2 linked regions of the Danio rerio genome follow. The protein of the gene in region 1 interacts with the protein of each later gene in a pairwise test. Links are inferred from orthologs where the notes say so. Each region holds a gene or a part of one and is shown in the gene's direction. Other genes may lie near its edges.

Region 1 (13,201 bases):
CAAACCTTTGTGTTTCTTTAGTCTGTAGATAAAAAAAAGATATTTTGAAGAAAGCTGAAAACCTGTAACCGATTTTTTTATAGTAAGAAACACAGTCAATAGTTACAGGTTTCTATCATTTTCAAAATATCTTCATTTCTGTTAAACAGACTGTTACACCTGGCTCAGAGATGTAACAGTGAGGGAGACGACACAGCGAAATATAATCAAAAATAATATTTATTTAACACAATTGAAAATAATTTAATCAAAACATCAGTATCTGTATGTTCAATCAGTGTGAAAAGCAAGTGAATGGATGCAATAGGTGTTGTCAGTGATAGTGTATGGATGTGAAACAAAACATAATGCCCAAATTGGAGTGCAGCTCTGGCCAATTGAAAGAACAGCGGCCCCTACCAATTCTCTGACGGGGTTTAAATAAGGGTGCTGACCAGCATCAGGTGCGCTGAAGGCACGCCCCCAATCTAGAACAAATTAAACACACAGAAACAAAAACAACGCAGTCCTAACACAGACAAAAGAAAATCATAAAGGTTTGAAACAAGTAAAAGGTGACTAAATGATGACAGAATTTGTATTTTTGGGTGAACTACCCCTTTAAGTATACTTAATAAAACGTACGTTTTACAGACAACAAAACAAACAAACAAACATGTACACAGAAAGAAATCTAGTTTTATTCAATTACTTCCCTTAATAAAAAAAAATTATTTAATAAAAGAAAATCTTAAAGGCTGATTTATACTTCTGCATCAAACGCTTTGTTGTGTGATTGGTACGAGCCTGATGGAGCGATTGTTTTCAAGTGTGAAGTCCCGTGAAGGAGCTCCGGATGGAAAGTTTTGTTTTGCGTTTACCTCATAGTTAAAGTTGTTGCACGTCCGCCGGTTCCTGCCTTAAAATGAGCGAGTTTGAGCCACTTGTACATCCCAGAAGTGTTCAGGAAAAGCAAAACAGCAGCGAAAAAACTTGACACAGAGGAACATTTACACCTCACTGCCAACTAGCGTTTCGGAAGTGTTAATGCTAACCAACAGAGACAGCGCTCAGAAGTATAAATGCACTGCTACGCGCGTTGCATACGCCGTGGGTTACGCCGGTTACTTGACGCAGAAGTATAAACCAGGCTTTACAAATACAGTACCTTAGGAACGGTATAACAAAAAATTTTGGCAGTTTTAAAACCTTGACTTTTCCAAACCGTTGTATACCTTGAAAACGGTTATTTGTCCCATGCCTAATCGACTCCACACCATCATAAACATACATTGAACGTTCTGATAAAGTCATGCATCCCTAATCTGAATTAGAGAATTTACCTGAGTGAGGGCAGACACTGGGAGCCCAGCGGCCTGCTGCTCCTGTCTCTTCTGCAGGGCTACACGACACTCGACCTTCAGTCTTTTCCACAGTGTCTTTAGAGAGCCGATGCTGCTGGGTGGTCGACTCGGGAACGCCGCATTGAAGGCCTGAGCCAGCTCTGCCCACACAGCATTCCGGTGCACAGTAGTGTTGGTGTCTTTCCGAAAGTCCTGGACCGTGTCTACCACCGCATGGATTCTCCGAAGCAGAAACAGCTTCTGCTCCAGGGTGAAGTTTGGCATGCGGTACGTCATAGTGGTCAACATGAGTGACTGGGTTTTATTGAGGTATTAGGTGTTGCTTCATTTATAGAAACTCTAGAAAAGGTCTTGCTATGTTTATTTTCAACAGAACAGTCTAGTTTAAAGACATCTAGTGGTATTTGTATGCATTTACTTGGTAACATTTGTAGCGTCACAGTGTATGTGTTTACAGTCCAGGAATGCAGGAAGGTGAGGTCAGATTATGTGCATTTCAAGAGTTTCAGCTCCAGTGATATGGTAAACTCTGGATGCCACAAGTAAAAGGGGGATTTTGAGGTCGCTTGATCATGGGTGCTAAATAGAAATGTATCCCGGGTCCACCTGATGGGCAAAGGGTCACCAGGCACACATGGGAAGTCTGTAAATGAGTATAAAGAAAGCACAATAAAAGGTTTAGCATTTGTTCTATATTGTTGTTGTGATATTGTTATTAAAATGTAGGACTATTTTGGAAGGTGATCAGGGCCAAAATTTTTCAGTTAAACACATAAAATTGAATTATGTAAATACAGATTGACCATGTTAAGGTGGCAATTATGAGCTTTTTTTTTTTTTTTTTTTTGTACACATAGACATGCAGAGTTTAATGTGTACACCAGCCCTCCAGGAACAAGTTTGATGACCCCTGACCTAGATTATGCATTTAACTGAGCAAAAACAAAGCGTAGAAATTTGAATGCTTATTATTGAATTATGTGGAGGAAGCAGGATTTTGGACTCTTATATTGAATGACAAAATAACTTTATAAAGTTCATACCAGGCCTACCTTGTTTACAGAAGTGTCTACATGTAAAATGTATTCATTGTGACATTTGACACTAAACATTTGTTGAGATGACAATTTTTATGAAGGATGATGTACATCCATCTCTGGTGATTACATAAATTAATGCCAGTATATTACGATATCTTTTACAAAAAAAATTGATCTGATATTTGATATTTGCATAATACTGAATCTGACCCAAACAGACCCATTTCTATAGCAACAAATAATTAAATAAACATGTAAGAAAAAACAAACACTTGAACATACATCTGCATGATGACAACCATCTTTTTGAAAAATTGAATATTTTGTGCACATTCTATTAGTTTATATGGATTTATGACCTATACTGCAGCCATCCACCAGGGGGGCACTCAAACAGTTTTGGCTTCAGTTTTTACGCATGTATGGTGCACTTGGTTGACAGTTACACTGTGCATTCTGACACAATCAAATTTCACATGTTTTGTGTCAACACTTGCCACTGTAGACTCTTTTCACATTTACGGGTTTCTCAGTAGAGGAAGTCATCATAGTTGGGAAAACTTAGCGCCCAGTAAATGGGAAAGTACAACAAAAAATTTTTTACATACCTATTTAAAGACGTTCAAAAAGAGGAAAAGAATTGGCAGCCAGAGGAGAGAATAAAATAAATTTACTTTCCTGTCCCATAGACACTGCATTAAAAGAGCAGTTACCACAAGCGGTAATTCGTTTTTTGGAATTTGAAGCAAAGATGATATACTACAGACATAAATACACATTAATGTTCATATGTTTTTTTTTTTAAATCAAAATTTTTAAAACTTTCAAGGATTTAAGATGCTGATGACCGTTAAACGCATCATAACAGGCGTGTGAAAGGGATCCATAGCATTCTTTTTTCCACGCTATAAGTTACAGTTATGTTTGAGATTGCATTTGGATTATTGGTCATTTATAAAATGCAAGTCAATGGCTACCAGAACTTTGGGACTCAAACAAAGAAATATATATAAATATATATATATATATATATATATATATATATATATATATATATATAGGCAAAACTAAACTAATGAGTTGTTCCTGTACATACACTGAAGTCTTATGAAGAAAATCGATCCGTCTGTCCACGAAATATTATTTACAGATATGTGACAAGATTTGTAAACACATTCAGGACCATTTGGTGAGCCTGTGGAATAATGTTGTAAAAAAATAAATAGTTGAACTGTAATGAATTATTTACACAGACTGAATTAAATAAGTCACTACTAGGTATGGGCTGGTATAAGATTCTGACGGTATGATAACCTTGGATAAAAATATCCCAGTTTCTTGGTATTGTGATTACCGCTCTAAAATGAGTTGTTTATGTTTTTTTAAATGTCTGGGTAAACAAACAACTTTCCCCCCCTTTGAACACAACACATTTTATTTTAAGAAACATTTTCAATATTTTGAAACAGTAAACATGTCAGGCGACATAATAAAAATCTTCATTAGTTTCAAAAACAGATTTCTTTGCAACTTTAAAAGGCATCTTTTGATATCTAACTATCTAAAAAAAAATTTACATACCTATTTAAAGACGTTCAAAAAGAGGAAAAGAATTGGCAGCCAGAGGAGAGAATAAAGTAAAATTGAATTTCCTGTCCCATAGACACTGCATTAAAAGAGCGGTTACCACAAGCGGTAATTCTTTTTTTGGAATTTGAAGCAAAGATGATATACTTTTCTTTGGATTTAAAGTAAGTCTCTGCACTTTTCAGGTCTAAAGCATGTTTGGATGTTATAGTTTATAATTTGTTTCTCAAATATTTCCTGAATTGCAGGCTGACCAGTAGCTTTTGATGTGGAGGGTTAATTTCTTCTGGAGATACTGCTGCCCAAAAACTAAATTAGTCATAAAAAACATTTTAAAAACTACAAATACCTTAGGAACAGTATAAAAGAAAATGTTAGCCAGTTATCATCCTGTGCCTAGTCACTATACAATTGGATGGCCTTGGACAGATGTGTCCAAACTCGGTCCTGAAGGGCCGGTGTCTTGACTTTAGCTTCAACTTGCTTTAACACACCTGCTTGATTGGCTGGTCCAGGTGTGTTTGATTAGGGTTGGAGCTAAACTCTGCAAAACACCGGCCCTCCAGCACAGAGTTTGGATGGCCCTGGCGTATTTCCAGTAAATTTTCTTTTTTTTAAATATCCCTTTGAGACTTTTTAATTTTATTTCTACATACATTGTAAATGTTTACATTAATTTTAAGTTTGTTAAATAAATTGTCATAAAGGTAATTTTTGCAATTAACATAATAGATATTTACAAGACTACTCTTGGCTGACAATTCTTTGTATTTTTGCACTAAACTCTGCGCTGCTACTAATGTTTGTACAAAATATTCTAGTGGCTGCTTTAACACAAGTTTTTTTTTTTTTAGGCCAAATGCTTGCTCGGCTCGCTGCGATTCGGTTCGGAATCGTTCGGTTTTGTGTACCAGCTCAACTGATTCATTAATGGTCAGACTCAAAAGAACAATTCGCTCAGAGTGAATCGCATCGTTATTAAAGAATGAACAAAGAAAAAAAAATCAAGCAATTAAATGCATGTCTCGCCAAGTCCTACAGGTGCAGGTGCAGCATTTTCATTGTTACGGTACTAATTGTTATAACTGTATTTGTCCGCCGGTCATGCTAGCCATAGCGCTAAACCCGAGCATCGCACTAGAAGTGAACCCGAGCTGCGGTTTAAGACTATCCCGAGACCACTCTCCTTAATTAAGCTATTGTGCATTTACACACACACAGCGTATGACAACTGTTATTATATTATCCACATTGACACTACTTACATGCAATCATCAGGCTGTCGATTTTATCCCGAAAATATTACACTTTGTCCCCACCCCCTGGGTTTAAGCGGTCCATAAGAAATTTAAATAACAGACCGGAGACACATGCGCAAAATGACGCTCAGGGCGTAAAAAAAGGCAATTCACTGGTTTGTGCATTTCGTATGATTTGTATACCATTCTCATGAGATCTGCTCAATACATATGGTTTGTGCATCTGGCAAATTGCACAAATCTACGCGTTTTCACAGTGGAAAGCGCAGGACTGGTTTCAGCCAATCGGTTGTCAGTGTGGTTCGGTGTGTGTAGTATTGAACAGCGCGATTGGACGGTACTCGGTGTCAACGAGGAAGTGAAAACACATGCATACAGTACGAAACATGCTTGATGCAGTATAAACGACCTTGTTTTTATTGTCTTTAAAATAAAGGCACGATCTCTACAGGAGACAGGTTTGTGAAATTTAAGCTAATTGAATTTTGGTTGCTACAACTGTACGAGAAACGTGTAAAATCACTGCTGGAAGATCCACTTTATGGTAAATATGTCTTGCTGATAAGTTACTGACGTTCATTATTGTAAAAAGTAAACCGATAATCGTTTATAAAAGCACATTTTATTGCAACTGCCTTTTGGAAAATCATGTATCTCAAATTGAATTTAATCCTACTGCAGTTAACAGTCATTGCACACCAGCTGGCTAAAGACCCTTTATCATTTGTTTCTAACTTTAGACAGTGATGGTTTACGTTATTTTCAAAGTACAGATATACGTGTAATATAAAGGAAACTGGAATTAATTGTAAATGGGTGATGTTAGTCTGGGCTTAATTATTCAGTTAAGAAAGTTTGTTTACTTGACATATCTTAATAATCCACATCATGTGTCAATAATCTAGAATAATTAAAGTAAAGATAATGAAATACATTTTTAAAGTAAGGGTGTTGTGGTTTTATTTCAATTACTGTAAAATAAAATTAATATCCAACATAATATTTGCATTAGGATGCACAATACTCAATTTTGTTTTGCAATTATGATAAATTAATTTAAAATGTAGTTATCAATTTTTGACATGTTTTCATTCATTAATTTATTTTTTTTTTACCTAATCTGATTTATAAAGGCCTTCATAAAGAGCTAAAATATTCCTGAAACAACAAATAATAATCACACTTTTGTTAATTGTGATAAAAAATGACCGAAGTGAAAATTAATGGGAAACGACTTCAAGCAGAAATATTTGCCTCAACACTCAAACAAAATCATACAGAAAGATAGCTTTCTGACATATTAACCTCAAACTTAATTTTTTTTTCATATAATAAATTATATATACACTACTTGCAGTTTAAAATTAAAAAGACTAATTGGAAAATATGCAATTTATATCAGATATGAAACTTTTAATTTTTGTTTTTCAGTATTAAAAACAAATTTTGCCAAGTATCCCCAAATTATTTTATATCAGGGGTGTCCCAACCTTTTCTTATGAAGGGCCAAAAACTAAACTTGATTGAGAGTGGTGGGCCAGAGGTAAATATACCAAACCATGAAGTTGTCAATGTTATTTTCTAATTTATTATTATATTATATAAATTAATTAATTCCATAATTTATTGCATTTAAAATATTTTTATTGCATTAACAATTATAAACTTTTGTACATTTTATAATGAACATCTTACAATAAAAAACATAAACAATCCCATTTATAACACAAAAATCATTTTGCCTTAATTGGCTTGCTGATGTCTTCTGCAATGTCCGCTATCCATCAAATTACTTTAAATATTTTTTAATTAATTAAAATTAATTCTGATTCATAGCTTTCATTCATAGCTTTTCATAGCTTTATGTGAAACGTTTAATTTCAGTCTGCCTTTTTTTTACCTCGACAGTTACAAAAACAAAAGTTATGTAAAAATAAAATTGGCATTCTCCCCAAAATTCCCCATCGTTTTACCTCTCCTCTTAGATGGGATGGAGGGCCAAATCAAAGGTTACCGTGGGCCAACTTTTGTCCAAGTTTGGACAGCTCTGTTTTATATTATTCCAAATTATTTAAACAAATTTAGTAGCTTTGGTAACTGCCATGTGACCAGCAGCTCTAGTAGGTTAATTATTATTATATCATAACATCGATTTGATCGTGTAATAAATGCCATAGCAAGCATTTTGCATTTGTTCAGGTTCTGCCTTTTGAAAATGACATTTCAGGAGATCAGTCAGTAATGAATAATGCTGTAATGTTTGTGTGTGTGTGTGTGTGTGTGTGCCCCAGAAGTCTACAGCCTGCTGTGCAGACTGTGAAATGGCATCTCCTGTAGAGTCTGCTGTGGTGAAGAGTGCTGTGCTTGTTGCTCCCATCACTGCACTGGAATTCCTAGGGGAGGATTTTCTTTTGACAGGTGACTGACATTCATTCTTTTAATGAACAGGAAGCAAATCAACAAGCTAACAATCCACGGTGAAGTAAATTATGTAGACTGTGACTCATGGGCCAATATGGATGTGATTTCTCTAAGCAACCTGAAGTGTCTCCTAATGTCCCTCAAATTATTTTAGGTAAATTTAGTGCATTTAATAATCCCAATGACATTGGCTGCATCCGAAATTGTCTACTACTCAGAATGCACTGTATTTGAATTTACTACTCTACTTTTAAAAAGTATGTTCTATAAAGTATGAATGTAAGTAGTATGAATGAAACTCTGACCTACTACATCTGCCATTCTGTCATCATCATGTGACCAAAACATCAGTTGCGTTGCTTCACTCACATTCATAAATTCTCTCACTGGGCATCATGTGATAGCGTAGCGTGCATCAAATATGCATTTCAGATTCTCGTCGGAAGTAGTAGGTCATCCGGGTACTTTTCGCATACTGTTTTTTTAAATCTATGAATTCGGATGTACTACTCGGTTTGCATACTGTTTTTAACATACTATATAGTATGCAAATATGCGATTTTGGATGCAGCCATTGTGTTTGTGTTTATTTCATAATGAGGTTGCTCTAAATTGCACTGTAATCCCCTCATTTGTTTTTCCATAGTTGTATAATTTTCTGCTATTGATTTTACAAATTCTAATTCTGCAATGTTGCCTATTTTAAATGTTTTAGATGTTTTGTTTGTAACTGTGTTCAATTGCCTGCTTTGCACTACTATCAATGTTTTCACCAAATAAACTGATTTAGCTTTAAGATTTCCTTCTTTAATAATATTCGAATGTTATGTTGAAGTGCACTTGTGTCTCATATTAAAATTCATTTGATTGATTCTTCCCTATCAATTGTGTTGTGTTGTAGGGGAGGGACCAATCCTCTCTGTCTACAGTCTTCAAGCATCTCCTAAGAAATGTGCATCTATAAATGTACTCCAAAACTACCGTATCCATGGGATACGACCATATAAAAAACATCAGTCTGGAGGAATACCGTTTAGTGGTGCAAGCTCTGCTTCGGACAACAGCTACAAGGGAGATATTATTGTTTTTGGAGGAAAAGGAGTTCGGCTTGTCAGCTTCGAATCTGAAGGGCAGTGCCTGAAACTGATTGGTCCTCTCTTGGAGCTTCAAGACTGGGTGCTGGACATTCATTGTTTTAAAAGACAACCTCATTCACTGTTAGGCATATCCTTGGCCCACAATGCCATCATGCTCCTAGAAGCAGAGTCTGGTAACATTATCTCCTTTTACTCGTGCGTAGAGACTTGTCTTCTTTACTCAGCACTTATGGTTGGTCCAAATTGGGACTCTGTAGTGCTGGTGGGTGGGACGGTCTTCAACCAGCTTGTTTTGTGGAGGCCAGCTGGAACCAAGCTCAGTGGTCAGTCCCAAGTAGAGAGACGTCTACTGGGCCACAGTGGAGTCATTTTCAGCCTTTGCTACCTTCAGGAATCTGGGTGGCTGGCATCTGCTTCAGATGACCGCAGTGTTCGTTTGTGGAGCGTTGGCACATTGGGTGGAGATGCAGGTTGTGGAAAGGAATCGCCAACGTGTCTTCGGGTGCTTTATGGACATCAAGCACGAGTCTTCTGTGTAAAGCTTACACCAAGCCGCTTATTTAGTGCTGGTGAAGATGGTGCATGCCTGCTCTGGGAATGGGGAGGTGAAGGGAAGGTGGGATGTGCATTTAGAGGGCATAAGTCAGGTGGCGTGAGGGCTCTGGCTGTAAGCGAGGGAAGTATAAGCTGTAGGGCGGGATGGGTGGCTACTGGAGGTGCTGATGGTGGAGTAAGGTTGTGGAGAGTGGCAGAGGGTAAGAAAATCAGTGAAGAAACTCAGGAAGAGACTCAACTGGATCTTGGGTTCAGAGGGCATGGTTGTCCCAAAGTAGTGCGATTAGTGGGGGAGGGTGAATCAAATGCAATTCTGGTCTGCACGGATCAAGGTGAGGTTTGCTTAAGTCAAGGTGACATCTGGGATGTCATTTGGCAAGGAGGATCTGAATTCCAGTCCTATTGTGTGATGGAGGTTGCAAGCATCCAAGTCCAGAATTCGGATTGCATTGTCCAGGTTTGTGCAGTAGGTAACCTGAACGGAGGAGTGCAGGTGTTTCTTGTAGGACAGCCAGGGGTGGGAGTCTTCCTAAGAGCTGGTGAAGGGAAAGTTCACTCTGTACTTTGGGTCAAGGGACTGTTTGGGGAGTCCGGGAATGTGTGTCTTCTGGCATCAGGCTCTGAGGGATTAGTGTACAGATGGACAATAAATGTGACTGAGGATAAATCAGGCCTACACATAAAAGAAGAAGCTCTTCTTCCCTTTCTGCTGCCACCCTGTGCCAAACGCTGGTTGACTGCTGCAGTTACCTTGTCACAGAGAAATGGGTTTTGCCTGTGTGGTGACCGGAGAGGTTCATTACTTCTCTACATGGAAAGAGAAAATAATGACAGGATAAATGAGGGGGAAGAAAGCAGAATAGACTCACAAGATCAAGAAACGGAGAATAGACAAACTGAGCTTGTCAGTTCTCTTTCTCCAATCAGCACTCTTTACGGCGTCCATGGGAAACAAGGTGTGACTTCAGTATGTGAGTACCAGGACTTATGCTACAGTACTGGTCGAGATGGATCTGTAAGAATACTAACTGTTGAAGAAAGCACCCTGAAGGTGCGTAGAGTTCACCGGGCTTGCAAAGGCATGGACTGGCTGGAGATGGTTCTGTTTTTGGGATCAGATGGACCAGAAAGGATGCTAAATAAGACAATTGTGAAAAGGACGAATGATACAGGGAGGGAAAGCATAGCTGAGGCTCGTTTTGTAATGGTTGGCTTTCACTCTGTCCACTTTGTTATATGGGACCCTCATCGTCAAGAGAAGCTACTATCAGTTACCTGCGGAGGTGGTCATCGCTCTTGGGCCTTCAAACGCCCAATAAGCACCCACATAGATACCCAGACACAAGCTCTCAGACAGGGTACTCTTGTTTTCATTAAGCAAGGAGCTGTCATGGCATCACGTTCATTAATGTCCACAGACACCAGTGTGAATGGACACACTCTGAAAGAGGGACTGCATGGGCGAGGTATCAGCTGTGTGTGTCACCTTGGTAGTTTGTCTGGAGACTTGTCAGAACTTTGGGAGGTTTTTGTTACTGGAGGGGAGGATACCACAGTGGGTGTACTTGCTGTCTGTCCACAGAGTGGAATTGTTAAGGTACTCGCGGTTCTTACGGATCACATCTCAATTGTTCGTGCACTGGCTGCAATCAGAAGAGGAGACATGAACGAAAGAGAGAGAAATAATGGGATGGAAACCTCTGTTCTCTCTTCTCTGGTGTTCTCTGCGGGTGGCCGGGCCCAACTGCAGTGTTACCGGCTTCTCATTCATTTGGATGAGCAACAGAGTCAACCAATCTGTCAAGTCACTCAGATTGCTGGCCATCGATTAGATGAGCAGTGGGAACGAAAGCGGAACCGACACAAGACTGTCAAAATGGACCCAGAGACGAGGTGTGTGCATATTTGTGATTTTTCATGTCAAATATTTTATGTACTTTCCTAGTTTTAGAATAAGGATCGAGAAGAATATCTTCTATAGTGATTAAACACTAGTATTAATTCATTAGTTTCCAACACCTTTATTTGATAAGTTCTTATTTCTTAGATACTAGTGCTTACTTATTACTAGTATATATTCATTAGATACTAGTACATATTAGATACTTGTATTTTTCCTATTTTAATATTAACTAATAGCAATTCTATTATTACATGTAACAAATCAAAAAGCCTTTACCTTCTGTACGTTTCTTTAATTGTGACTAGTATACATAATAGTATAATAATAGTAGTTTTTTGTTTACTATTAGTACTTAATTTGATGCTCTCACCCATTGAAATGGATGCAACATTTTATTTACTACATTAGTTTATTACATAGCTACTAGTACATATTTGTTAAATACTAGTATATGTTTAATAAATACAAATTAGTTATTAAATTGGCATTAGTACTTATTGCAGACTAGTATTATTTGTTAATGTTACTAATAAAAAATTCTTGTTTTAACTGCTCAAACTGCTTATTTTGCTCAAATGCTATGACTTGTCTGAATAACCAAAGTAGAGGTCAATTAATACAAATCTTAGTGTTAAACGAATCATCTTGATACAGTTAGGCATCTCGCGATAAGAAAGTTTTGTTGTGCGATATATTGTCATAGAAATTGTTGCGATAAGCGATGTTATTGTCATTTTTAGAATATTTTATGCCACTGATTATGTAATGTTTATATAACAGCATAATAATAATAATACAAATACCCATAGAAACTTAAATATTGGTATAATTCTTAAGGTATGATTCTATAATTTGACGTTAAAAAGGTAAATGTCCAATTATAAACTTTGACACCGGTGAGGTATAATGTAAATGTCATTGTGAAGTGGCTTTAACAATATTTGTTAATTTGTAAATATATATTGCTACGGCAAAAATTATTGTGGTTGATATATTGATTATTGTGATAGGCCTTAATACAGTATCAGTAATAAGCATGGACAGTACTACTTAAAGTAAAATATTCTAATGGCTAAAAATGAGTATAGTGTACTGTTAACTTCTCAAAGATTAAATGTTACCACAACTTGCAAAATATGATCATCTTCACAGAAGAAATATATTTGGAAACAACTGGAATCTTAATGTATTTTTATATGTATAATGAAATGTAATTAAAATCAATCATGCTAATGAATTTAATGCTGTTTGATGGTTGGTTCAGAACATTTTTGACCACCAGATGGCAGACAATACAACATACCCCTTCATATTGCAACTGTGCTTTCTTACAGAGGGATTTTATTGTGCAAATGCTTTCTTGTGTTTGCAGGTACATGTCTATTGCTGTAGTGCAGAATGAGAGTGAAGGAGTACTGCTGGCTCTGGGGTGTAGTGATGGTGCAGTGAGGTAATTTATTGTGAGGTTATGAAATTTCTTAAAATAAAAGCTTTGTGTTTTTGTCTCATTCTGAGTCTGTCTTATGTTTTCTTTTTCAGGCTCTTCAGTGTGAATGAGAGCAGTAGGAGCGTTGATGTGCTTTGGGAGTGTTTTTATCATCAGAGGTGTGTGCTCAGTGTCGCCACCTGCAAACTGGAGGACTCCCAGGGCAGAAAGTAAGAGAGTTCTGTACAAATATCTGATATTTAAAAGATATTTTAAACTTATTTCTCAATGTCTTTCTCTTTCTTTCTCAGGCTTTTGTTGCTGTTCAGTGCCACTACAGATGGTTGTATATCTGTGTGGGATTTAACAGCAGTTTTGAACAGTAAGGCTAGTGTCAGCTGGCAGGGTGAGTCATACATACACCAGAACATAAACACTTGGTTTTTTTATTAACGTGATTATTTTTAATGTTTGAATAACTGTGTCGTCTAGCAAATTTACGAATATTTCATACATTAAAGTATGCGCAGTCTTTACATTTTTTGTTTTGCAAGCGTTTTTCTAAAAGGT
Region 2 (12,533 bases), on another chromosome or scaffold:
GTTGTAACTGCCAAGTCTTTATTTCTTGTTGTCTTCGAGGAAAAAGAGCGTTTTCCCCTTCATCTACCCCTACACAGATATAGTTGGCTAATACTACATATGGGTCAAAGACATAAAAAAAATGTGTTTAACTGCATTCTGGCTTTAATTTTTATATTAGATTAATGTAATTTTTAACCATATATTAGAATGTGTCTAATGTATTGTTTTCAATCAAGAAATCTTGGACTGTTACGTACATGTTGAAGCCCATCACCAAAACCTATACGCATTCATCCCTAAAGTTTCTAAAGGATAAGTTTTTAATCTAATGTTACAGCTAATGTCTAGTGGAATATGCCAGAGAGGAGAGGAAGATGAAGACGTGTATGGTTTTCTTGTGGGTGACATTAAAAAGGAGATCCGCAGATCATCGAGGCTGGTAAGTAAATATTTTACCCTTGCCATGTTCTGTTTAACACCTCAGAAACATTTTTGAAACTTGTGTCACTTTATTACTTGCAGAGATGCTTTCATTGCAAAAAGGCTGGTGCTTCAGTGGGCTGCTCCATCAAAAGCTGTCGGCAAATGGTCCACATGCCCTGTGGATTAGAGCAGGAGTTTGTTTTCCAGTTCACAGGCTTGTTTCCGTAAGTGCGTTGTTCCTTGTGAATAGCAAGATGATGGTGTAGAAAGTATTGATGTGAAGCCTTTTAAAATATTATTTAAAATGTGTATATTTAAAAGGAAAGTTCAGACTACAAGATGAAAATTCTCCATTGTTGCTTTATATCAGGGGTCAACAAACTTGTTTCTGAAGGTCCTGTGTCCTGCAGATTTTAGCTCCAACCCTAATCAAACACACCTGAACAAGCTAATCAAGGTCTCACTAGGTAAACTTGAAACATTCAGGCAGGTGTGTTGAGGCAAATTGGAGCTAAACCCTGCATGGACACCGGCCCTCCAGGACCGAGATTGGTGACCCCTGCTTTAAATAAGCAGCAAATTTAATTTTGGCTTTCATTTACAGGCTTGAATTAAGCTGCTTCTGGATTTATTTTTACATCTGTTCATGACTGAACAAATGAGGATCCTAACAATAATAACAGAATCTAATGCATTAACCCAGTACATGTTTGTAAGGCCAGTTTACACCACACAGACCGAGGCAAATTACACTTTGTTGGATCAGTCTGTTACCCTTATCAGTGTGTGTGGAGTCACTTGTGTCATATAATGTCTGTGAAGTAGCATGCTATAATCTAATGATTGTATACACTACCTGACAAAAGTCTTGTTGTCGATCCCAGTTGTAAGAGCAACAAACAATAACTTGACTTTTAGTTGATCATTTGTAAATGTGGCAGAAGGTAAATCTGTTGAACTGCATCCTAATCATTACAGATACTGCAGAGTAGATATATTGGAACCCGACATCAGTCAAGTTTAATGAAAAAAAATCATGGTTTGGGTTTACATTCAATATGGGCCATGAGAAAGATCGGTTGAGTGGATGGCAACATCAACTGCCTGAGGTATCAAGACATTTGTGCTGCCCATTACATTACAAACCACAGGAAAGGGCAAATCTTCAGCAGGATAGCGCTCATACACAATACTCATTGTTTTTCCACTGAACTCATGTACAGTATAGAACTTTATTTTCTATACTGTACATGATTTCTGTTAAAAGACGAGACTTTTGTCTAAGAAAGTCAGACCTTACTGTCCTAATGAAATAATTAAAAATCAAGGCATGATTATATTTGATTTTGGTTAAAAAAAAATAAAAAAAAAAAGAGCAAAATCTAGAGGCCTTTGCCTTTCATATAAGCTACTTCTGACTCTAAATGATCAACTAAAAGTCAAGTTATTATTTACTGTTCCTAAAACTTGGATAGGCAGCAAGATTTTGTCTTGTCAGGTAGTGTATGTTTGCCTGCATCTGTCAGTGCTATTAATTGGCCTTTAAAATAAGTATCTTAGGTTTAGCAGCACCCATTACTCCAGTCTTCAGTATCCTTCAGATCAGGGGTGTCCAAATCTTGGATCATGCGACAGCTGTCAAAAACTGTCTTGTCGAATAACATTTCTTGTTGAATAACAAAAAAACAAGTGACCCCAACCTATTTAAAAGCAGCATCATTGTTGTCAATTTTACAAATGCTCCTCTTGGTACTGATCATGGCAATCTTTTGCAGGTCTTTCTGTAAAAAGCATGCGCCTACTCAGTCCTGTGACTCCAGCCACAGTCTGCCCCACTCCTGCTCCATCTGTCTAGATCCCATTGAACCCATCCTCTCCTATCATGTCCTCAAATGCCCTGCATGTCATGGAAGCTGGTTTCACAGGAAATGTGTACAGGTAATCTTTTTAACCCCTATTTTAAACATGTTAATCTAAGTTAGAACTTTGAGCCAGATCCTCCTCTCTTGTGTTTCAGAATTATGCACACAGCGCCGCAATGTTTTTCTTTAAATGCACACTCTGCAATAACAAGGAGCAGTTTCAGCAGGAAATGCTCCGAATGGGAATATATATACCAGAGCGGTAAATAATCCTTCTGCTATTGATTCTAGTCATTCGAATTTCTATTACCTTGTTTATCCTAATGTTTTATTTGTAACACTGTTATTCACTGCTTGCTGGAGTAATGTTCAAATAATGTTTTTAGTTACATTGTTTTCTATTTTCCAGTGATGCATCTTGGGAACTGGAGGAGAATGCATTTGTTGAGTTATTGCAGGTCTACCACCGCTGTGATGCAGTGAAGTGTCTGTGTCACAAAGGTCGTGAACACAGCTCACAGTCAGGGTAATCAGTGCTTTTCATTCAGTCATCCCAAATTAATCAAATGAAATCAGAAACATATACTTGTGGAATGCTCCATTTTTTATGTTGGAGAGACTTTAAATGAAATATTTATTTATTTAGATAGGAAATTTGATCAGAAATAAAAATTTAAACCGTTTTAGATTTTTATCTTGTATGTTATTATTAGTATAATTATTAGTTGTGTATTTTATCATATGAAGTATTTATTATTTATGCATTATTAATTGCTGTTGATGACTTTTTATTGTTAAATATTTAAAAATGATAGAAAAGTGATATTTAAAAAATATAGTAAACTTGATCTGTTTCGAAACTTGACTTTGGGCTCATTTAGGTCTCGTTTTTGTGGAATGTTGATTAATGTACACTGACCTTGGTTGAAAAACATTGTAACTATCAATCAATTAAGAAACGGCTTTTCTTAACAGGTATTTTGAAATAGTTCTCTGCAAGTTGTGTGGATCCAGGGGAACTCATCGAAAGTGCTCTAATATTCGAGTTTATGAAGCTGACTGGATGTGTGCTGACTGTAAAACTGCAGCTGAGGGCAAAAGTGAGTTCTCTAAACTGTTGTATTTTTGTGGTGAATAATAGAACAGCCTCATGTGCTTGGATGTGTCTCTCACTCTAGGTTTTAAATTTACCTCAGTTTTTTTTTTTTTTTTTTTTTCATTATTTTTACAGCATCATTGCCATTGCCAAATCATGTTGAATCGCCACTGGCTATAAGACAAGAGAGGAAGAGGCTGTTTAAATCGATCTCTGACATTCACTCTTCAATCGTCGCTAAAAGGTATTTTTAAATTGATAGGATCTGTTCTAAGTCCAAAATATTCTTGATCTTTTACAACCCTTTTTTTATTTACCATTTTGCTGTATGATAAGTTTAACTGTCACTAAGTTTGTTGTTCTTATTACATAGTAATTGTGTAAAGCGCATACTGTGCAAATAAAACTACTGTTTAAATATTACTATAAAAAGGTTATTCTTATTAACAACAAAATTAACATTTATAAATAAATTCCATGAAAATAAATGCACTGGGAGAGTATTTGCTGCACAAAACATATGCCAGAGTCATAATTAACGGTTCATTCTGCTGTGACGATCCCCTGATAAATCAGGGAATAAGCCGAAGGATAGTGAGTAAGTGAGTAAATACTTTAATTACTTGCTGGGTTCCCAAGCTTTTTGGAAGTACTTACATTTCAGACATATAAATTCAAGGTCCATGAAGTACTTAAAATCAAACATAGGTACTTGAAAGTGCTTGAATTAAATTTGCAATAAAACTTGTTTACAGTGTTATTTCAACAATTATACTGTGCTGCTGTCAAAAACAGAATGGAAAAACTGAAAAAGTCTTAAATAAAAAAAATCTTTACCAAATCTTTACCAAAGCCTTTACATCTTGTACAACAACACTGACAAATAATGCACATTTTAACAAATTTTACTAAAGTTATTTAAACATGACTATTTAAAAACGGTCAATTTTAGACATTTTAATGTAAATATTAAGTGTAAGTAAAATGTTAAAGTTAAAATGTGAGTGAAAAACAAAGTAGAGTAAGGACATTCATGGTACAGAGGTGCTTCATTTAAAATGAATGCTGCTTTAAAAAGTTTTTAAATCTGATGTCCATGAAAGTGTGAAAACCCTGTATTTGGCAAATCGTTGTTTTGGGGTTCTAGTTAGGCTTGGGAGTGGGTCAGGGGAAGATAAATCTATAGGTATAAAATGTATACATTTATAAACATAATAGCTAGAGAAGCTGTGAATCCATGCATGTGTACAATAAAGTAGTAAATGTTCATGCATAGTAAGGGTGTTTTCACACTATGTACAGTTGTTTTGAACCATGCCGAAGCACGCTTTTCCCCTCTCCCCCAACAGCCTGCACTCACATTGCATCCAAGCCGAAGCATGCTCACATCATCGATGATGCACTGGTCAGTTTAACAGAAGAGAAGTTCTCTTTTTCAGAACCGTGGAGTTTTCTTTAGTTTTATCGTATTAGTTTGATATGCAGAGACAATCAAATATTTCACAGACGAGATCAGTCGCTTTTGAAGCTCATATAAAATCATAAAGTCCTCGTGCTGCAGGCATTAAAAGGTTTGCTGAAGGTGCAGCTGAAGCGCAGTAAGGGATTTGCGTCTTTAATAAACAAGTCCTTTAAACAGTCCTTTAAAAGGCATGTCTCGTCTTCAGTTTTAGCCTTAAGCAGGTCGCAAACCAGAAGCGCCGCTCGGCGGCACGCCATGCATTTTAGAATTCTAAACATAGGTTTCTATCAGGATACACACACCGGCGCCGCAAGTCGGCAGCGCCCGGCCACGGCTCTGGACGCAGTTCATTTTTCAGCCGCGCCACAGAGCGCCATCTGATTAGTTTCATGTTAAATATCATTCGAATGTGCGCGTCTGGTGTGTGATACTTTAAACTGTCATGTGCGTGCCGTGTTGCGGCGCCGAGCGACGCTTCTGGTGTGCGACCTGCTTTAGGCACACTTTGCACTCACACTACAAGCGTACCGCGGCAAAGCCCAACTGAACTGCGCTATGGCACACCTCTTTCAACTGGGCCAGGGCCGGCCAACTGAACTGCGCATGAGCCCGATTCAGAGCACTCCCACTTCTCAAACGAACCAGGAAACGCGCTTGGGCACAGTTCTGATTATTGTATACAGTTTAAAATAAAATTATTGCTCAAGTAATTATGCTTTTATTACTATTACCATTAATAACAATCATGATAATTAATATTAGAGTGATTTCCAAAAGATCACGTGACTCTAAAAAAACTGGTGTAATGAAGCTGAAAATTCATCTTTAAAATCACTGGAATAAATGATTAAATTAAATGATAAACTGCTTTTGAACAGTTATTTTAAAGTGCGATAACATTTCATCATTTTACATTTTGTTCTGTATTCTTGATGAAATAAATGCAGCCTTGGTGAGCAAAAGAAGTTGATTTTAAAACATTTAAAACTCATTTTGACCCCAAACCTTAATAAAGCATTATCTAATTAAATGCACAATTAAGATCATTTATTAGATGATTTTGGCTGTGTTTTGATCACTAAGTGCACATATGAACTATTATGAGGCAAAGTAGTAACAGCTTTGTCATTGTTTTGTAGGCAGTGTGTGCCAGCCACTTCTCCGGAGGTCTTAATGGATCTGGCCTGTCAGATCTCACAGCAGCAGTTCACAGAGGTGCTGGTGGGAGATGATGATGGTGGCGTGATGGAAGCAGCTCTGCAGGTGCTGCGCCAAAGTGACTTTAATCCCTGCTGCACACTTTCTGTCAAATTCTCCAAGGACAAACTGAACAACAACATTAGAAACCAGCGTCGCTTTCTCAGGCGTCTCGTTTCAAAACTGCAGGTCTCAGACATTTTTGAGGGATCCGATGGAGCTAAAAACCTGGCTCTGAACTCAAAAGGTACATTCAAACCCATTTTTTAAAATTAGAAATGACCTTCACTAACAAAGCTAACAACTGTTGTGTGTGCAACAGCTCTGAGGGACGATCTCTACTTTGATGTCGGCAGTCTATTGGCCCTCTCTTTGGTTCACGGAGGTCCTCCTCTGGGCTTCTTCTCTCCTGCACTGTATCATAGTCTGTTCAACTATCCCAAAAACTACAGGCCTACTTTAGAAGACCTCGGAGACACTGCTTTTGGGCACAAAATCAGACAAGTGAGTTTATTTGTGTAACTTATTAAGAACCTAATGGTTGTTGTACACATGTTAAACTATAGTGTCTCTGTGTTTTTAGATCGCAGAAGCAAAGTCAATGAAGGAGCTGAGACATGCGATGAAGTCAGCATCACAATATTTGGAAGCTGCAGGCTGTTGGCGGAAGATCAGCAAACTCTCTGAGAAAGACATGTTGGTGGAGGATGTACTGAATTTCTACCTGATCATCAGACTGCAGCTTCCTCTGCAAAGGTTTGTAATCTAAACTGTTAAGACGTATATCTTAGCATGTAAAAAGCATAATTATAGGGTCAAATGTGTCAAATCTAGTGATTGATTTATAATAAAGACAGTATGAAATTATTAAGATTAGTTAGGATTTTGGGGCTGCACTGTGATCCTTAAAGGGCACCTATGTTACAGTTCAGTTTTTGTAGACTGTTTGGACAGAACCCAACAAGTCTCTTTTTTTAAATTTCCTTATGTTAAAATAGGACCCTGTAGGGATTATTTACAGTTTTAACTCAAAGAATGACCAGTCTGTCAGATGAAGTAGAGCCGGAGTCAGAAGTTTTACTGAAGATAGTTTGCAGTTTCATCAACAGAAGCCAGCTTCAACACTCGCAATAAGTTCCTTGGCCGCTCTGCTTACAATCATAAATCAACATCAATTATACTCTCTACACAAGACCAGAAAGAGTGTGATTCAGGTAACAGGTTCCGATTGGTTAAAACAAAGATAGACAGTTAAAATATTATGTACAGATGGCAACAGGAGGTTTGGGTCAGGTCAGCCGCCTGTAGACAATTATGAACTGGTCTTAGAACTGCAGAACTGACCCATCGGATGAATATATACACGCAAGTGACAATCTGTTATAAAAACCCAAGGTTGTTTCTTCATACTCTCAGCTGTCTTATCGAACTAGTTCAAAACTGGTATAAACAGCATTCAGACTGCTATATTTTTACAACACAAAGTCTATAAAAATCACTTTAAAATGAATATACACATAACAATAATATCAAATTCACTTTAGACAGTAACACATAGCAATCCAAATAGGAAAACAGTTGTTTTTAATCATCAAGCCCTTCAGTTCCACTTGAGGTTTCCTTGACCTCTGATCTAGTTTGGTGGCTCCTGAAAGTAGAGTTAAAATAGAAAGACAAAAAGACAGGCAAATACACTGAACATTCTTATATTATATTAAGCAATGTGTTAACTTTATTTATTAGTCTAAATCATTTAGTGATTAAATACTGAATTAAATAATCATGTTAATAAAGTTATGAGAAAAAGGATAAATGTTGATCCATGCTGGGATGGATTGAAAGGCAGAAATTCGAGTCCATCAACCCAAATCCCAGTAATTTTGAGGCCCACAGCAAGGAGATGTAGGAGTGCGGTTTATGGAGACAGGTGCCTTGTCTCCATAAAAACTTGTATACACATGTCCACAGAACATTTTTTGCAAAGATACATGTTACAACTCTCTGTGATCAGCTGCACATCAATTAATTTTATAAGTTTAAAATGTTTTTAAAGCAGAGCCCGTTTGTAATAAAGGTAATAAAAATAGTGGGCGGGGAGAAGCAGCTTATTTGGATTTAAAGCCACAGGCTACATAAATAGCTACACTAACCTCAGACAGCAAAATCGGCAGATTCTGGACGATATGATAAATTATCTGATGAGTATTTTGAACTGAAACTTTACAGACACATTCTGAAGACACCAAAGGCGTATATTACATTTTGTAAAAGGGGTAAAATTGGTGCCTTTTTAAATAAAGTTTAATATATTTTATCAAGCAACACTTATTCGAAATATTCATGAACTAAAATTTTGTGTTTATAACATTGTTGCATTGATAATTTGTTGTTTGTCTTCTGTAAGGTGTGTGTGTGCGTGCGTGCGTGCGTCTGTCTGTCTGTCTGTCTGTGTCTGTAGAATTTTTATTTTTTTATTTATTTTTTATTATTATATGTAATTTTTCGCATTTCATTTTTACATCTTTAAGACCCGTAATTATAACATTAATTGAACATATTTTACTGTTCAACAATTTGGTTGGTACGATCTCTCTTTTATTATTTAGTGAGAAATCCATTATTTTATTTAGTACGTTTCCATTAAGCTTATCAAAAGTGACTTTAAATATGAATGACAAAAATGAAGAATGTTTTATTTAAATTAAAATTGAAATGATTACAGTTTTTTTTCCATCCATCATAGAATGTTAATAAGTCATTTACGTTTTTGCATTTAGAATATGTAATTTGTCACAGAACCAATAGCATTTGCATTATACTGTCAGATATTAGAAACCTGGATTAGTATAGAATCTTAACATTTTTGTATTGTGGTAAACCAAAGTAAAATGTTTAAAAATTCGATAGTAATTTCTAAACTGTGATCACATTAACTGCCCCACCAAAAACAATGTGGATTGCATTTCTTAATTCCTAATGGCGGTAGTTAACACTCAAAGCATTTGTTTTTTCAGCACATCCCATAATTTATAAAATATCAACCATTTGGTAGAGGTAGAAATGATGCATATGCTATGAAAATCTGAAAAATATGAAGTGTAATTTCAATTTATAAAAAATAATAATAATAAAACATTTTTGAATACTAAATCAACTTTATTTTTTAGTGTGCCATAAAATATTGCCGATTCTCGTTTAACTTGTTTTCTGTTTGTTTCTGTTTTTTACAATAAAACCAAAATCAAGTGTAGTAGTGCAACATAATAATGTTTGTTTGTTTGTTTGTTTTTTTTTGTTCTAGTTTTTTTTTTTTGGTAAACCAACGATGCTGTTTGTGTAAACTATTATTTAAAACAGTCACTTTTTAAAGGACTGTTTTATTTAAAACAGACAAAATATGATCATCTATAAGTAGAGCAGGCAGTGGAACAGTTAAGTGGAGCAATAACTGCTAGAAAGTTTGCATTAGAATCATACAAAAATGTGAAATAACTTCAAATAGAACACGGTTATTTTGAATTGTTGCATTTATTTCAAATAAAATGTATTCATGAACTTGTATTATTAGTTATTATAAAATTATTAGCTCTTTAATTTTACCTACCCCAATCTGTTTAATTCTAGTGTATCCACATAATGTTTTAAAGCACCTTCATTTCTCTTCATTGTGAGCAAATGTTCATTCAAGCTCATATTTCTTTCCTCAGATTCCGTGAAGGTTTGAGGACACTAGGAATGTTCGAGCAGGTCCAGATGTGCTCAGAGACGTTCTTTCCAGTCTTCTGTGGACCTGTGGAAAGGCTGACGGCTGAATCTGTCATGGAGCTCTTCACAACCCGGTTATCAGAAGAAAAAGAAAAACAAGTTCTAGAAAAGACCACGATAAGCTTTTGGAAACAGTATCTGCATGAATGTGAAGGTCTGTGTGTTACATTTTGGATGAATATGAAGAGAATAATCAATGCATTTTGAATAATTTTAACCCTTCTCTTGTGTTTCAGAGGGTCAATGTGCAGCATCGCTGGAGGACCTCCTAACATTTGCCACTGGTACAGATTTAGTTCCAGCCATCGGATTCAAGCCCACTCCGTCCATCTCATTCCTCAGCTCACCAGACAACTTGTGTGCTTTTCCTCAGAGCAACTGTGATGCCAATCATCTCATTCTGCCTACTCTACCCTCTTACCAGCTCTTCAAGAAACATTTGGATTACACAGTGTGTCAGTTCTCAGTTATGCAGGACATTTAAAGCCGAGCTGGATGTTTCAGTAGAGTCATGGTGTAGATTCACATAATGATTTACAATGGTGCTAAAAGTCTTTTTGTTTGCAGTTAGCGAGTATTATATCAACAGTCTTAAATCGCATTAATGTAAATGATTCACTCTATTTATCAGTAGTTAAACGCAGGTTTTAGAACTTGATGAACTCTGTGTTGTTTAAATGGTCTCAGTTATTGATCCAATTTAATTCTCAAAACAATTTGAGCCACTCAACTATTGAGGAAAAACTCTGAGGTAATATTTTCTACAGAAGCTTAGACTCATGGAAAATTTGTTTTTAAAAAAAGATTATATGTGTGCTTTTCTTATCAATTTAGACTTGAAGAGATTGGGAAAGCTGGTCATGAGCATGTAAATGTAAATAGCTTAATGTAAATGTTGCTTTGAATGGCTTAGATGTTGATTTTATTAGCTTAGAAGTGCAGAGGTTTTTAAACCAAAGCTCAAAGTAGTTGAGTAGTAATGAGTTGTTATGTTCTTATGTTCTTGATTTTTCTTATAAAAAAAAAAACTGCAAAGCTTAAATTGACGCGCTTATAATTTTCTGGTAGCCACAAGATGGAGCAATTGCAAGATTTTTGCCACACTGCTAATGGCAAAATGCCGTCACTACAAATGAAGTAGTTACTGAATGAATTGGTCTGCTTTGCTTGTCATTTCCATTAGAATCACATTTAAGCAGGTATGTCTTTGTTCTTGTACAGTTTTATTTCTCCTGATGTCTTTGTTTGATATCTTGACAACTCGATAACTGCTATAACTTATTTGTTTTAACTTTCTTTTACTGTGTTTACTTTTATTAAATAATGAATGGATTTATAATGTACTTACCTGAAGGTTTTTTTCAATCAGTCTTAAAATCACCTATCAAATAATATGCACACGTCCATCACATCAACAAAACACTGATATACATTTTTAGTCAGAGCAATTAGATAGACTATCTATGCATCCATCTGTTTGACTGAAGTCTGTCTAGATTGCCATTCATCCATAAATGACTTTATGGATTAAGGACTGGACAATATAAACAGACTCTAGCCAAAGACAAACAAATAGATGCATTGATCAATGTAAGACAGATAAAGGGATAGATAACTGGATAGACAGACTGATGAATACAGTGTAGTCAACATTTGAAGTGGAGGAAGGTTTGTTAGAATTGTTTTAAGTGATTAAGTTGTTCACTAGCTTAAGGAGAACTTTGATTAGAGGTTTTGGTCCACTTAAAATGTTGACTACTGTATATTGTCAGATGGGCAAACTGACAGATTTTTTGTGATTTTTCTAGAATTGTCTAAAAAAATAATCTTTTTAACTTTTATACTATTAATAACCTCATTTTGCTTTGGTCCAAATTAGCTATATCATTTTTTTCATATTTTTTAATCATTTGTACTTTTTCTTAGATGTAAGATGATAGATAGACAGACCAAAGGGTGAATATGCAGATAGACAAACTGATGGATGAATTGATAGACTTGATTGACATTGATGGATGGATGAACAGATATGTAAATAGACAAACTGGATAGATTGGTAGACAATAGGATGAATAGATAACCAGATATATAGACAAGTTGATACAGGGATAGACAAAAAATGAATATATAGGCAGATATATAGACAAATTCATACATGGTGGGATGGATAAACGGATGAATAGATTGACAAATTAGGGCTAATCATATTGAAAAAAAATATGATCATGCAATATTTGAATTGTATCCCAATTTGGATCATCACAGTTTAAATGTTATAATACTTTTACTTTTTATTTTCATAGACTCAAATAAGGATAAAACAATACAATTCTATAAAGCCCTTAGGTCTTGAAATCCATAAAACAAGGCAAATGATAACACTGAAATGTGCCTGTCAATAACTTAAAAGAAAGTGATTGTTTTCTTCTGATAAATAATTGAACAAAAGAGAAAAATGTTAATTTAACTTTAATATTTTTGAGCCTGGTAAAAAAAATGCTTTTCATAATTTTATAATGCATATATTCTGTCTAGAGAAACTAAATTAAAAATCAAAATATAAATTATTTAAAATCATCTGATAAGCCCTCCTTGATCTGTTTACTGAGGATCTCCAGTGGTGTGAGTTCTTGTACGCTGACAGACAGCGGCTCGCCGGTTGCCACGTCACCCTCGCAGTCGTCACTGCATAAACAGTAAAGATGGCGGCGTCCATCCGGGAAAAACAGACAGGTCTGTTCTAAAG

The links.
Region 2: the proteins of wdr6 (region 1) and g2e3 interact in a two-hybrid assay, tested with the Homo sapiens proteins (2 studies listed by BioGRID and IntAct). The two-hybrid records come from large-scale screens. The link is inferred for Danio rerio from reciprocal best matches to the Homo sapiens genes WDR6 and G2E3.

What each region holds. Positions count from the first base shown.
Region 1 is NC_133183.1:28,123,958-28,137,158, forward strand, and holds the start of wdr6 (tRNA (34-2'-O)-methyltransferase regulator WDR6), read left to right. Parts: upstream 1-5,583; 5' UTR 5,584-5,687; exon of another isoform or gene 5,688-5,770; coding exon of another isoform or gene 5,771-5,773; intron 5,774-7,520; coding exon of another isoform or gene 7,521-7,550; coding exon 7,551-7,647; intron 7,648-8,551; coding exon 8,552-11,195; intron 11,196-12,577; coding exon 12,578-12,655; intron 12,656-12,744; coding exon 12,745-12,861; intron 12,862-12,942; coding exon 12,943-13,037; intron 13,038-13,201. Other genes in the region: fsbp (fibrinogen silencer-binding protein), read right to left, coding at 1,323-1,631. UniProt on the Homo sapiens protein: Together with methyltransferase FTSJ1, methylates the 2'-O-ribose of nucleotides at position 34 of the tRNA anticodon loop of substrate tRNAs. Required for the correct positioning of the substrate tRNA for methylation.
Region 2 is NC_133192.1:30,298,598-30,311,130, reverse strand, and holds the end of g2e3 (G2/M phase-specific E3 ubiquitin-protein ligase), read left to right. Parts: intron 1-319; coding exon 320-421; intron 422-504; coding exon 505-629; intron 630-1,383; exon of another isoform or gene 1,384-1,622; intron 1,623-2,119; exon of another isoform or gene 2,120-2,142; coding exon of another isoform or gene 2,143-2,180; coding exon 2,181-2,343; intron 2,344-2,422; coding exon 2,423-2,529; intron 2,530-2,676; coding exon 2,677-2,793; intron 2,794-3,242; coding exon 3,243-3,367; intron 3,368-3,498; coding exon 3,499-3,607; intron 3,608-5,964; coding exon 5,965-6,269; intron 6,270-6,344; coding exon 6,345-6,526; intron 6,527-6,605; coding exon 6,606-6,778; intron 6,779-9,729; coding exon 9,730-9,941; intron 9,942-10,023; coding exon 10,024-10,271; 3' UTR 10,272-11,126; downstream 11,127-12,533. Other genes in the region: scfd1 (sec1 family domain-containing protein 1), read left to right, coding at 12,490-12,520. UniProt on the Homo sapiens protein: E3 ubiquitin-protein ligase which accepts ubiquitin from an E2 ubiquitin-conjugating enzyme in the form of a thioester and then directly transfers the ubiquitin to targeted substrates. Essential in early embryonic development to prevent apoptotic death.